Cricetulus griseus: one gene and its partners. The protein of the gene in region 1 interacts with the protein of each later gene in a biochemical or structural test. Links are inferred from orthologs where the notes say so. Each region holds a gene or a part of one and is shown on either strand. Other genes may lie near its edges.

Region 1 (4,592 bases):
AAGTAAGGGCTCGATAAGGCTGCATTTGTGCCAGCCTTCATTCCCGTCTCCCAGACTCCACTCATTATGTTTCTAAAACATTTATGGTCCAGCTGGAGAAAGTAGAGGCAAGGAATGAGGAAAAAGAGAGTGCAGGCATAAAGCATTAATTTTATTACCTTTTGATGCTAGATCAAAACACAGGGTACAAGTCAAAGCCGAGGGCTCAGCTTACTGTAATGCCTTCTCCCCACACCCCCCTCCCAGATCTCAAGAGGAGACAGTCCCCCAGCTGGGTCCAGCGGAAGCCAGACCTACAACCTTCCATGGTTTGGCTGAGGATCACTGCCAATGGACAGGGGCTACACTGTGGGGCTCAGTTTGAGTTCCATGTCCAAACTTGGAAGAATCATCAGTATTCTGCAGTTGTATACCCCAAGGCCTCAACAGGGGCACATCGCCAAAAGGCTTCACTTCGTCTGAATAAATTAACAGTTATAGGGTCCAGCTGTATCTTCAGGCTGACTTGCTAAATATTGGCTGTACGAATTCTTCAAGGCACTGACATTAGACTACAGAGCTCTGGGATATGATCTAGTCACAGCCCCTGAATGCAAGTTCTCTGCCTTTCTATGGAGGAAAGACAACAGCTGCTTCCCTGTGGGTACAGGGAAAGAGCAATGCAAAAAGGAGGCTTCCAAAATGCACCACATATTTGGAGAGTCTCTCGGTGCTATCACATCGAGCCTGGCACCTATGGACTGCTCACACTCACCTGGGTTTCAGCTACTCAGCACTGGTAACAACTCCTCTCTCATCCCTACTCCGGACATGCTAAGACTTATTGTGACAGAAAGAAATTGCTCTCTTTTGCAGGGAAACAGCAAAGGAGAGAAGAAAGGAAATACAAGAAGAAAAGGGATCTTGGTGGCTGGTTCTACAGAAACTAGGAAAAGCCATGATCTCCATTCAAATCTTACCAATGGGCCAGAGAGTCCTAGTTCATCCTTGGTCCCCCACCTCCCAAGCCAGATTCTATTTGAGTTTGCACAGGAGCCAAGAAGCAAGAAACAAAGGGAATCCCCAGCAGGATGGCAAAGATTATTGTTGGGGTTTCTGAAGCCTGAAAAGGACTAGAGGCTGTGGAGGAAGAGTAACAGGACCAGACCTCAGTCAGTGTCCCTTTACCTTCATCCTGCAGCAAAAGCTCAGTGGATCCGGCAGAAATACATCTTCACCCCAGCACATCCCATTGTCTAAGGAAACACCTATGCTCCTTCTAGCTTTATCTTTGTCTAATATTTACCTCCTAGTTCTATGTAGATGCTCTTCTAGAAAAATGACTAATTATGAATTGCTAAGGGGCAAGTGTCAGGATTTGTGTCCATTCCCTGCCTACTTAGATCTAGGGGCAGAGCTGAGCCCAGAACTTAGACTTTCACTTTATGATTTAGCCTTACTTCCAGCTTAACCTACATAAGAGAGAGGATCTGAGCCCCGAAAGGAGACAGACTTCCATCTATCAAGGCAAATGGCATGGAAAGCCTGCATATCCCTACTTTTACCATGTAGACAGCACATACGGCTCTCTGGATGCATCCCCTTTACACCATCGAAACCGGTCTGACTTCAGAATCCCTTACAACTGTCTTCTGAAAGCCACTGCCAGCTGTTCAGGGACAGGAAATATTGAAAATGGACTTCTTGTCCTGTAGCGGCTCAGAGAGCCGAATTTCAGTTATTAGGCAGGAATGTCACAGGCGTGTAGGCTATGCAGGAGTAAACTCGAGGAGTGTTGCTTGAGGTCTCCCATCTGATACCCACCTCATAGGAAGTGTCTACTCCAGCGTGTCATCACTATGAGTGACATTAGCAGCCACATCTAATTCCAACTCTGGAAACATACCTAGACCTGCAAGGGGCCCCATTGGGGCAGGAGCACTTGTTTTGAAGAGATCCAAAGGGTTGGTCTGAGGGGCTGCAGGTTGTCCTGTGGGTGACGTCTGGCCTGGAGGTTCTGAGGCAAAGATGTCAGATGCAAGCAAGTCATTTGCTGAAGACTGACAAGGAGGGGAAGGAGGGAGAAGAGTTACTCAGGTTGAAGGCAAACACAGCTTCCATCTGTCTCCTACTCCTTACCCCAAAGCTAACCTCCACATAAAGGAAAAATCTTCTATTATTACTGGCAAATGATTACTTACACCAATAAATAAAAGAGCAAAGGTAAGGTGTCTGTGTGTGTGTGTGTGTGTGTGTGTGTGTGTGTGTGTGTGTGTGTGTGGTGGGGGAAGAGACGCAGATGACTGTAGTGAGCGGACTAATGGATACCACTTTGGACTTGCAAAATGAAATCTATTTTTCTCATTTTATCCTTTTATGTCAGTCTGGTCTCCTTATTGGCAAAAACTTGAAGCTGGGAAAAGGAAGGGCAACATAAGTATCCTGAATAACTTCAATCCGTTCGATCTCAATCAGTTTCAACAGAGGCAATACTACTTTGATTATTAGGTAAGACTGCACATTCCCATGAGAGCTTCTAAAAATCACCTATGGGTGCTGCACTTGGAGTCACTTTTGACTGAAGTTGGTAATAGCATTTGTGTAAGTTTCTAAGTCAATGAGTTATTAAATCAACGATTACATTTAAAAGAGGAGACAGACTTGAGAATTTTAAACCACCACCATGGACATCAGTGATGATGGGTGTCCAGGATATGTGTTAGTGTGGGGACAGGACCAAGGGAATCACAAGAACTCTCTCCCGCCCATCCCAGAACATGACAATCAAACTTACCAGAGGTACAGAAGCATAGCAGCATTAACAATGGAAAAAAAAAACAACAACTTGTGTTTAGTTTAGTATTAAGTGACAAGACATGCAAACGGAAAGCAGATGTGACAAACACTGCTGGCAAGCTTAGGAAGAATGTTGACTAGAGGGGCATATTCCTGGAGGGCCGATGTGTCTTATCCCACCTTCTATATCACAGCCACACAGGAAGCTAAAAGAGCAGCAGGGGCGAGAGCTTGCGTCACACCACCCTTTGGTACCGCGCATGCACTCTGCTAATGGGTATGTGGAAAAGACAATTCACCTTGGCAGTCCTTCTGCCTCTTCCGGGTTTGGTACTTTGTGGAGGTGGGATAATGGCTATGGAGTCATGTGCTGAGGACTGGACAGAGCTTTCCAAGTCCGGCTTTACGCCATTCGGTACCGATAGTCCTTTGGGAGGAGGGCTTTCCACAAAAGGGTTCGGGGAAGATTTGTTATGGAAGCCGTTCTGTTCTCTTTCAGATACCCCATTTTGAGTTCTCACTGCTTGCTGGGTTTGCGAACTTGGATAGGGCCACGGGCCTGCCTGAGCTTCCTGTTTGCCAGTCCGGTTAGAGATCTGGTCAAATTGCTGACCAAAGTAATCGGTATCACCGTTCAGGGGCCCTTTACTCAGCGGAGTAGACAAGCTACTCAAATTCGCTTTCTTCTGATCTGAAGATGTGAGAGAATCAAACGAAGAGGGTGCCGATTGGTCTGGCTGTGCAAAAGGATCATCACGGAAAGGATCAGGATTAGGGGTGGGAAAGAAGTTGAGATTGGCAGAAAAGGCATTTTCAGGCAAGAAGGATGCCTGAGGCTTTGGTCGAGGGAGAGAACAGGAGGTGACGCCATTTGTTAAGAATGGATTTTCTCTTAAAGAGTTCTGATTGGTGTCGATTTCAGAGTTTAGATCCACTAACAGGATATCTTTGCTTTCCTAGCACATTTGGGGAAAAAAAGAGAGAAAGAGGGAGACAGTGTTAGTCCATGTTATAACTTCAAATGAGAAAACTACATCAAAACGACAAGGATTACCAGGGTTCCTATTAGAATTTGGGACTATTACCATCTCCCATCAACTCCCTGAGTGTTTACTAGCTGGGGATTAGTTCCTTACTCAGTGAGCTATAACTTTCCATGGGGTCTGCTCTTCCTTGAGTGAAATCTTGCTAAATTCATCCTCTCCTTTGTCCATTCATTCAGATGGGCTAGGTTCATTATCTGCATTGGTTCAACTGATGCCTTTGAATTAATTGGGACTCACTGTAAATGGTTATCTGAATATACTGTTTGGACCTATGAACTGACTTCAGTAACTGGGTCCAGCTTCCTACCTGAGAAACACACAGTCCATAGTCCTTTTTCTAAAAGTCTCTAACATTACCTCTCTAAATGAGCAAATATATAGGTTAATATTCATATGTGTACCATATGTATGCATGTGTACAGTGCTGAGAATTAAACCCAGGGCTTCAAGTATCTCAAGTAAGCATTCTACCACTGAGTTACATTCCACAACTCCAGATTTCATAGTTATGGCTGTGATGAAACTTAAGGTCAACTGTATTTCTTCCCTCTGGGGGTAAACAAGATTCTCCATTATCTTGGTCAGTAGGTCTCACTCTTTGAATAGACAAAGACCATACTAAAGATACTAGCCAAGTTTGGACCTCTCATCTTTACCACCCTCATCCCTTCTTGGACATAACTTTTCATGTATGTGACACTCAAAATACTGATCACATCTAATCAATATTTTCAGAACATTGCTCCTATTTCCTGTATTGTGGCAACGATT
Region 2 (5,105 bases), about 23 Mb from region 1:
ACTGGGAAACAATACTTTTTGTTATGCAAGAGCACGCTGCATTCAAATCCCACTGAGAACAGGATTTGACAAGTTAACCTCCGTTCTGAAAGCTCTTCTGCTGCTCAGATTTGCCTGAGCTCCAAAGCTGCTTGCTTCTGATGTGGGCAGCCATTCCACACCTCCCACAGATCTTCACTGCAAACTGAGTTTGCAGTTTACCTTTTAATTTGAGGATAGAGGGGGAAAGATACAGTTATGTTAGGACCTGAATAGTGTTGGTCACTGGAGAGGAGATTTATGGTTAGGGGTCAGTGTTTAACATTTGGTCACCATTAACAGAGTCACCTGTGCAGATTTTCTTTTGAAAGTGTGTGTGTATGTGTGTGTAGGTGTGTGTGTGTGTGTGTGTGTGTGAGAGAGAGAGAGAGAGAGAGAGAGACAGAGAGACAGAGAGACAGAGAGACAGAGAGACAGACAGACAGACAGACAGACAGACAGACACACACACACACACACACACACACACACACACACACACACACACACGATATGTATGGTCTTTAACACCTAGAATTCAGGAGCCCTTCTTGCATCTAAGGGGGTAGTACCCAGTGATACTAGAATTGGATGTCAACCTCTTTTGCAGAGTGCACTTTCTTACTCCTTTTGGCAGAATTTTCTTACATCTTCAGCATCAAGGATAATCCAACTAGACTGATGGCTTATAGAACTGAAGCAAATATTTATTGTAAAGAAACAGATGAGTTAACATATACAAAGAAATTGCAGAGATGGCTCAGTGGCTAGGAGCATGACTGTTCTTTTGTAGAGGATTCATTCAATTCCAACACCCACATGGTGGTTCACAACTGTATCTTCAGTACCAAGGGGATCCCACACCCTCTCCTGGCTTTACTGGGCCCTAGGCACACACATGGAGTATATATATTGCAGGCAGGCAAAACAGTCAACCTCATAAATCTTTTAAAGTGGTATATCAGAACAGCATTTCCCCATCATCCAACCCCCAGATACCAATCTTGTTTCACCTGTACCCTATTCTTCTGCCCAACTCTTATGAAATACTTTTGAGGTCACAGATGTCTTATCATTACATGAATATTTATGAAGGACATCCTTATAAAGGCACAACCGTTATATAGTTATCTTTTACATTTCATCCACATGAAAGACAACGCATGGTTTTTATTTTCCGGGAGGAAAATCAAGAAAACAAGATCTTAGGAGGACCGGTGTGCATATTGTAGTTAAAACTACACTAAATTAATTTGTGGAGCTTGGCTTCAAACTTGCAGATTTTTTTGACCTGGCTTTAATGAACTTGAGACCTCTAAAGTTTTTGCTTTTTTAAACTTTTGGAAAGTAAGGCATGGAAAGGGATTTAGTTTCTCTATTAGGCGAGGCATGTTAAAACTTGTGTCTTTTTCCCTGAGTGTACAAGTTGGTAAGATTACCATGGGCTTTGTGAACAGGCCTGGAAGGGTCGCGTTTCGGGTCACGCCTGCTCGCGGCAGGCGGTCCAGGCTGCCTGGCTCCCTTGTGACCCGCAGCGGTGCCTGAGTCTTGCAGGCGACACTGGGCGTTTCCTCCCTTTCCGGGCTTGGACAGTTTTGTTTTGGATCTTACTTCCCAGTCAAGGAAAGGCTCCCTGTTGACCAAAGGTTTCCCAGTCTCCTCGGGGTGGCCAACGGCCAAGTTTCCTTACTCCCAGCCTGCCAAGCTGGGAGATCCTCGAAGGCCCGGACGCTGGACTCACGGGGAGGAGCGAGTGGGCGGGGCCTTACTCGCTCCGCCCCCCGGGCCTGCGGGTCGCTCCGCTCCCGCCAGCCTGGGCGACTCGCAGACTAAGTTCGGCCTCATTCCCAGCGAACGCTCGGACCCGGCCAGGCTGCGCGCAGGCGCACTCGGGACGCGGCGCCCAGGAGCTGGGCCAGCGGCGGCGGCGGCCGCTAGGGGGCGCATGCGCCTTGGAGGGTCGGCGGGCGGTCTCTGGGAAGAAGGCGGCGGAGGCGGCGAGAGGCGGGGGCGCCGTGGAGGCCGGTCCGTGTTTACACAGCGGCGGGCGGGTGCGGACGCGGAACCCGGCGCGGCGGCGGCACGATGGTCATGGCGCATTTCGTGGAGAATTTCTGGGTGAGCGGAGGGTGTCGGGAACACCGCGGGCTTCTGCTTCTCCCCGCGGCCTGCGTGCGCGGCGGGCGGCGGCTTTTCAGGCGGCCGAGCGAGAGTCCGTGGCCCGGGACTGCCCGGCCGAGCTCCCGCGTTGGCCAAGCCTCTCCGGCCACCGGGTTCTCCGGGCTGGCAGCTGCGCGGGGCGCCGGGGCTGGCAGCGCGGCCCGGGAGCTGCGGCGGGGACTCCAAGGGCCCGCAGCGCCGGGCGGGGACAAAGCGCCGACGGGGCGTGCGCGACGTCGGGCGCGGGGAGCCGGGCGCCCTGCGGGGTCTGCTTCCCGCGGCGCAGGCCCGGGGCCCCGCCGGAGTCCGTGCTCGCTCGGACTGAGCACTTCCTCCTGGGCGCGCGGCTGGGCTCGTGGGGCTGCGCCCAGGACTTTGCCTCCAGGCCTGCTCACAAAGCCCTTGCAAGTTGGATTTCACGGACCTTCCTCATTCTCCCCACACCCCTCTCGTCTGCCCGCCGAGTGCTTGCCTGCACTTACTGTTGGTCGATCATGGCAAGTACGCTTCAGCCCTGTGCAAGAAAAGTAACGTGTTTCCTCAGGTAGTTTGGCCGAACCTGGTTTTTAATGGCCCGAAACATGTAAATACCTCAGTTTCATTTTGGTGAGGTATAGAAGTGTTGAAAGGAGTCAGCTTCCAGTCACGCCAGCCACTGCTATGGCAGATTCTTAATTCTGTCTCAAGCACGGACTTGCTCAATAATACAATCACTTCATAGTTACTTGTTTCGAATGGTACCCACAAACATCTGTATGCTGTAGTTTTTTTTTTTTAAAGAGTGGTTTTTATTGAGGTTCCCTTTTCATGTATACAGTGTATGCATTTAAAGTGCATATTATGAAGAGTTCCTCATTGTTTTGTGCAAACATCACCACAGTCAATTTTAGAACAATTTCATAACCTCAGGAAGAATCCTGTACGGGTTAGCAGACACTCCCAGTTTGCCCCTTGCCTCAGCCCTTGGGCAACTGATATCTCTGCTTCTACAGATCTGCCTTTTCGGGACTCAGCATATAAATGGGACTCCTATGTCAGGCTTATTTCACTTACTATAATATTTTCAAAGGTAATCCATGAGATAGTACATGTTAATATTCCTTTTTATGGCCAAATAATATTTCATTCCACATTTTACTTACCCATTCATTAGTGATGGATGTTTGGTACCCATCATAAATATTCTTTGTTTATTATGAGTAATACTGCTATGAACACTTTTATACACGTTTCTCAGAGCATGTGTTTTCATTTCTTTTGGGATTGGAATTTACTGGGTCATACGGTTAACTATATTTGCACTTGATTAGCCAAAGGGCCAAGAAGCAGATGGTAACTGTATTACTAGTTCAGTCAACTGCTGGACTGTTTGTCAGAGAGGTTACGGCACTGTACAAATGCTCTGCAGTGTCTCGGGTATATGCTCACCAGCACTTGTTATCTGTTGTGGTATAGTATGATGGTGGACATGAAGTAGCAGCTTGTGGTTTTGATTTGCATTTTTCTGTGGCTAATGATGTTGAACTTTTTTTCTTGTTCTTATTGCCCATTTTAAGTATTTTTCTTTGGATAACTGTGTAGACCCATTGCCAGTTTTAACATTATCTTTATTTCCTTTATGTTACTGAATTCTTTTTATATTCTGGATTACTCCCCCCCCCCATCCCCACACCCCTGCGCACTTGTGGGCTTGTCCACTTTTTAAAGACAGTTTCCTGATTTTCTGATCCTCCTGCCTCTGCCTACTTAATGCTGGGAATATAGGTATGTGCCATTATTATCACCGCTGGGTGCACATTTCTTTTTTGTTTTTGTTTTTTGAGATCGGGTCTAATTACCTAGCCCTTGCTGCCCTGGAACTCACTATGTAGACCAGATTGGTCTTGAACACAGATTGCCTGCCTCTGCATCCCAGGCACTGGGATTAAAGGCTTGCACTACCATTCTTGACCCTTAGATACTCCTACCTGCTTTATTCCCTCCCTCCCTCCCTCTCTCCCTCCCTCCCGCTTTCTTTCTTAACGCAATATACAAACTTTATTTAACAAAAGCAACAGGTAAAGTAAAACAGATACCAAGAAAAAAAAAAGAAAATTATCTTTAACAACTTAAAATAACCTCCTTGTATTGCATTTAACTGAACTCTGTTTTTTTTTTTTTTTTTTTTTTTTTTTTCGAGACAGGGTTTCTCTCTGGCTTTGGAGGCTGTCCTGGAACTAGCTCTTGTAGACTAGGCTGGTCTCGAACTCACAGAGATCCACCTGCCTCTGCCTCCCCAGTGCTGGGATTAAAGGCGTGTGCTACCAACGCCCAGCTAACTGAACTCTGTTTCTGTGAAGAATACAGCTCATGAAAAGGATTAGGTGATCTCCAGGTGTACTTTTTTGAAAGAGGTTGTCTAAAGACAAGAATATGTGGTTTTGGCTCATGAGTCATGTAATGGACATCCTTCAGATGTCAGATGAGTTTTTGGTACTTGCTTGGAGAGTTCTCTGGGTAACATGACTGCAGGTACAGGTAGTGCTTGTCGAAATACTTGCCTGAGCAGTAGATCTGCTTATAGGCCAATTGAGTGGAGGAGAAAACCAGGCCCATGGAGCTCCATGACCACTGAAGGCCATTGCAAGGACCCCAGATGCACAGATACCTGGTGTGGAAATACCTTTTCCATTCTGAAAACTGTCTTTTTATCTTACAGATAACATCTTTTGCAGTCCAGTTTTTAATTTTGATGAAACCTTCAAGAAGTCCAAGCTTTTGTTATCCAAAGAGGCCTTTCTGTAACCTAACTTAGTCCTGTTTTCTTATAAGATTTCATAGTTTCAGCTCTTTAGTTCCTTCTGTGATCCATTTGAACTTAATCCTGTGTGTTGTTCAAAGAAAGGGTACATACAGCTTCATTCTTTACAAGTGTATGTTTATTTTGT
Region 3 (5,184 bases), on another chromosome or scaffold:
AAAATGCCCAATAGGCCAATCTGATGGGCGACTTTCTTCAGTGAAGTTCCCTTTCAGATGATGCTAGTTTGCATAAAGTTGCCAAAAACAAAACAAAACAAAACAAAAACACCAAACCAAACAAAAACAAACAAAACACTAACAATACTAACACAGGCATCTTCAGTCTTTCACAGTTTTATTTTTTGTAACAGGGACTGTCTCACTGAATCTGGAGCTCACCACTTTTGCTAGTAATGGCTGGCCAGTGAGACCAAGGATTCCACTTGCCTCCAATTTTCCTCTCTCATCCCAGCACTGGGATTATAGAAAATGAGCTCTGCCCCTGGTTATAGTTCATTCTACAATCTTTTATATATTTGAGATTGGCAATCTGGAGCTAAACTCTTGTGATTGCTGTAAATTACTTCCTTTCTTGGTTTTCCTTCCTCTTTTTAACTTCCCCACTTTTACTTACTTTTTATGGATTTGAAATGTTCTCACTGAAAGGTAGCTTTTACTTTTTTCTTTCTTTTCTCTTTTTTCCCTTCAAGACAGGCAGGTCTCTCTGTGTAGCCTTGGTTGTCCTGGAACTCACTCTGTAGACCACGCTGGCCTGGAACTCAGAGATCCGTCTGCCTCTGCCTCCTGAGTGCTGGGATTTAAAGACATGTGCCACCACCACCCTGCTTTTTCATCCCACCAACTGTATCCTCTCTGCGTGTCTGACCCTCCCCCACCATTTTTGTGATGGTGTGGATTGAACTTGCATCCTCCTGAGTATCTGGAATCACAAGTATGAGGCCCAGTTTGAACACGTGAAACTTGTCTTCTCTAAGAATTGTCCAGACAGTGTCCAAGTGTTTAGAGCCCCTGTGTTCAGAGGACAATTTGAGTAGTAAGTTCAACCGTGTGGGTTCTGGGGATCGAAAGCTGGGCTTCAGGCTGGGCTGCACGTGTCCTTACTGCAAGTATCCTTACTGGCTGAAACATCTTGCCAGCTCCTTATTTTGTTTTCTTAGTAGCTTCTTTTCCTTATAAAGGCGATGTTTCAAATTTGCATGGGAATGTAGTTTTTAATCTAAAAAAGATGACTCATATGACCTTATAAAGAAAGTAAAATTAAACAATTAGAAAGATAAAGCGGGTAAGTTTATTTAATCCTATAAAACCAGCCCACAAAGGATTATCATTATTTCGAGGCTAGCCCAGGCTACATGGCAAGTTCCCAGGCAGCCTGGTTATCCACTGAGATTCTCAAGAGTCCGAATAAACAACAAAAGGGGCGGGGTAGGAGTACAGGGGCTCTAAGAAGTCAATATGACATCGTGGGAGGCCAGCCACGGCAGGGAAAACTTCCTTCCGCGGTCCAATCCTCCAAAGGCCGAACAGGAAGTTGACGCAGGCAGGTGAAGAGCTGCGTGGGGAGCACAGGCCTGGTTGCCACCTAGAGACCGCATGTGAGTCCCTCTGCAAAACGCCTGTCCCCACTGACTCAAATTTCCTCCAGCTGACTCTGCGGTGCAGATCCACAGGACCTGCGCTGCGGGACTGGAAACAACCACGACTGGGACGAAGGGAACTTAGTGTGGCCACCTGTAGCATGCTCCTAGCAGGGATGCACCCAGTGTCTCGGTTCTGGGCTGCTTCCCAGCCATGAAGCCCCGCCCTTCCCAGGCTGCAAGTCATTAAGCCCCGCCCTTTTCCAGCTCCGCATTCGGGAGTCCTGAGGCCACGCCCCACTCAGCACTGGCTCTGCCAGGCCTCCCCTCCCAGTCCGCCCGCCAGGGCGTCCAGGGACCCCGCTCTTAGCAGTCGCGCCCACGTACCCCCCACCACACGTCTTCAGGCTTCGCCCCTCGGTTCCTTCACTCCTAAGACCCCGCGCCTTGCCGGTCCGCCCCCTCCTCCTCCCTTGGACTCCTCCCCTCTCAGCCCTCGAGTCTTGAGGCCCCGCCCCTTAGGCTGCCCCCGCCTCTTGCGCATGAAGACCCGCCCTTTCTCCAGCCGCCCCGCCCCTCTCCCACTAAGTCCCGCCTCCGCCCCGCCTCCCGCCCCCTTGGGCGCTCCGTAGCAGTGACGTACGCTGCAGGCTGGGCACTCAGCAGGGCTCCGGCCAGCGGGCGGAGACCGATCCGGGATCTGTCCTAGCAGGAAGCGAATCCCGGCGGTCGTCGTCTCCGGTGCTCGCTCTCCGCCGCGGCGTCGCGCTCTCCCTTCGCGCCCGCAGCCCCGCAGCCTCTCCGTGGTCCTCGCGCACCTGCCTCCCCGGGTGAGTGTGGGCGCCTGCACGCCCGCCTGTCCTTGTCGCCTTGGCCTCTGCTCCCGGCCGGGCTCAGACCGGAGCTCTGGCTTCCCTTGCCCGGGCCGGCGGGGTGCCTGTCATCTGACGCTGCTGCGTCCCCGGTCCCGGGAGTCTCTCCTGACTTTGCGAGATGGTTTTATTTTCTCCTTTTGGAAGCACACTGAAAATTCTACACAGACTAGTCTGTTGTCAGAAGTAAAGATCAAATGATGCCATTAATAATTTAGCCGTGTCGAAGACCATGGTGGCATTCTACGGAGCTGGAGTTTTAGTTCCTGAGTGGTCTCGTATCTTGAGTGTGAATTTTACGGATATGTTGATGAAAATTTTTTTTAAAAAACTAACTTAGTTAATTCCAAAACTCCTTAAACTAATTTAAACACGCTGGCTCTGGGTTGTATCTCTAAATAGGAAATGATTTAATAAGGTCATTCTTAGGTTATCTATGTCTGGAATATTTACACAGAGTTACATTTTATCTGGCGAGAAGTATGTAGGGCAGGGCTGTTTAAATCCTAATGTGGAGCATTGTTGGGGCGATCTCATATGTGCTGAATAAAAGTTTCGTTTGCTATCCTGGTACAGTTGTAGGAAGTTCGAATATAGTCGACTTGAGACTTTTAACAGCTCCTGGGGCTCAGCTGCAACTATCTGCACACCATAAAATGTGAGTCTCGATGGTGGTCATGGTACAAAGGTTGGCCGCCGAACAGCAGCATTTCTGTACAAATTAACTCAACTTCAAGATATCTTGGCTTGTGGTTTTCCAACTGGGAAATGTTTAGTGAAAAAAGTTACCTTAGTGCCCTCTAGCATTAATTTTAGAAATAGCCAAAATGTTACAAGGGGACCAAAGGAAGAGTCAGAAACAATGCAGCTCTTCAGAATAGCTCATTGACTTTTAAATGTCATTTTTGGGGTTTTCCATTGTGCAGGAGTAAACATGCACAGTGGTAAACAAGTCTTTTTAGGCTGATGCTCATCTGCCCATAGTGTTTTTATTTTGTGTGTGTGATCTGTTACTTATTTTTTTTCCTTCTCTTTTCTAGTTATGTATCTACTTTCAAAAGTTACTTGTAAATGACAGGGACCTAATACTACCATTAAGAAAAGATTATTGTGATTAAATGTAGTATAGAATATACATATGCTCTATTATCTAGACACATGAGCAAGAAGAGAGAACGACTATGATATTTTATGGAAACTGCCACCAGGTATTAAAAACAAAGGTGGTAAATTATAGTTCATAGGGGCTTATCTGAAAGGGATTTTCCCCTGTTTATGTGATCAAGTTTTAAAATAACAGTGGCCAGGAAATCTGAGAGAGGCCAAAGGCTCTTCTGTCATCCTGTTGTGACTTTGCCGGGAGTCTGTGGTGGATCATTTATTGTTTAGACAACTGGTCTGTATCTGGGTTCTGAAAGGCAGTCGCCTTTAGACAGTTTTAAAGATTTCCACCATGCAAGGTCTGAATATATAGGCAGTCCACATTTTAAAAAATTCACTAGTTTTAAAATTTCTCCTGGTACATAAGGCTCCACTTAGCATACATAAAATGCCAGTTTAAAAATAATCAGGTTTGGAAGTACAATACAGTGGGTAGAGCTCTCCCTAGTATGTGTGAAGCCCTGGGTACCAAAATTTTCATTTTTCTGTATTAAAACATCGTATTTAAACATAAAAGATTGATAAAAATGTTACAATTTGAATACCTCTCACACAGTATAATGGGGATTCTCAGAAAGAGATACTTTGCAACAGTTTATAAACTGGCAATTTAGTATCAGGGTGATACACACAAGCTGAAGGCTTGATTTACAAAATAATTTTCCAGGTTGATGGTCTTGTTGTTTTATAGAGGAGAAAACAAGAGGCTCAGAGAAGTAAATACTTGCATTGGCTTTGGAGGGGCAAAGTCCAGACTCTGGATATGCAGAGGAGTCTTCTGACAGTGAAGTCCCCCACCCTGTTTGAACAGGGCTTGCCTTGGGTTTCTGTTTGCCTGGTGAACTATTGAGACTCCCTTGTAGAACTGGTCTGGAGATTTGAAGATGCTGATAGTCCATGCATGGACTCTGGAGCTAATTGAAAATTCTGTCTTCTTCTTTAAGGCCTCGAGCAGTGACCCAATGCAGTAGCATCATTTCTGGTGTAGTTCCAGCATGTAATAAGTATTATGTGCTTTTCATTTTGATGGGCTTATAGGATTTAACATTGCCGTCTAATCCTGGATTGATTTCATTATAGCTGAGCAGTGTATGAAGTTTCTGTTTAGGATAAAGCTTCAATTTTTTTTCCTTCATGTGAGTTAGATTGTTGCTCCCAAATACAGTAGCTGTCTCTTAAATGTTATTCAATTAACTCTAACCTTAGGGGCTGAAACATGCTCCAGGCTCAAGATGTTCAGGACTATGAGATGGCTCAGCAGGTAAAAGCACTTGTCCGGAACCCTGATGCCCTGAGTTTGAGCTCATGACAAACAACTTCTGTTAATTGTCCTCTGACTTCCACACATATGCCATGTCACATAGTCATAAGCAAATAATTGTAATTTAAAAATTAAATATTAAGATGTTATCCTACCTCCATCTCCTGAGCCCAGGGATTATAGGCTTGCAGCTCTGCCCCTGTGTTTGTGGTGCTGGGATCAAACCTACTTTCATGCTAGGTAGGTAGTTCATCAGGGAAGTTTTATCTTTAGTCCAGGACAAATTTTATCTATATCTATCTATCTATCTATCTATCTATCTATCTATCTATCTACTATCTATCTATCTATCTAGTGTATATAATTTTTGTGTGCATATACATGGTATACCTGTGGAAGTCAGGGGACAGTTCTGTGGAGTCAGTTTTGGTCAAACTCAGGTCATCATGTTTGCATGGAAAGTGTTTTT

Evidence for each region.
Region 2: the proteins of Dab2 (region 1) and Fcho2 form a complex in vitro, tested with the Homo sapiens proteins (2 studies listed by BioGRID). The link is inferred for Cricetulus griseus from reciprocal best matches to the Homo sapiens genes DAB2 and FCHO2.
Region 3: the proteins of Dab2 (region 1) and Myo6 form a complex in vitro, tested with the Homo sapiens proteins (7 studies listed by BioGRID). The link is inferred for Cricetulus griseus from reciprocal best matches to the Homo sapiens genes DAB2 and MYO6.

What each region holds. Positions count from the first base shown.
Region 1 is NC_048595.1:340,199,371-340,203,962, reverse strand, and holds part of Dab2 (disabled homolog 2), read right to left. Parts: intron 3,732-4,592; coding exon 3,075-3,731; intron 2,040-3,074; coding exon 1,886-2,039; intron 1-1,885. UniProt on the Homo sapiens protein: Adapter protein that functions as a clathrin-associated sorting protein (CLASP) required for clathrin-mediated endocytosis of selected cargo proteins.
Region 2 is NC_048595.1:317,588,977-317,594,081, reverse strand, and holds the start of Fcho2 (F-BAR domain only protein 2), read left to right. Parts: upstream 1-1,983; 5' UTR 1,984-2,103; coding exon 2,104-2,136; intron 2,137-5,105. UniProt on the Homo sapiens protein: Functions in an early step of clathrin-mediated endocytosis. Has both a membrane binding/bending activity and the ability to recruit proteins essential to the formation of functional clathrin-coated pits.
Region 3 is NC_048597.1:191,081,715-191,086,898, forward strand, and holds the start of Myo6 (unconventional myosin-VI), read left to right. Parts: upstream 1-2,062; 5' UTR 2,063-2,251; intron 2,252-5,184. UniProt on the Homo sapiens protein: Myosins are actin-based motor molecules with ATPase activity. Unconventional myosins serve in intracellular movements. Myosin 6 is a reverse-direction motor protein that moves towards the minus-end of actin filaments.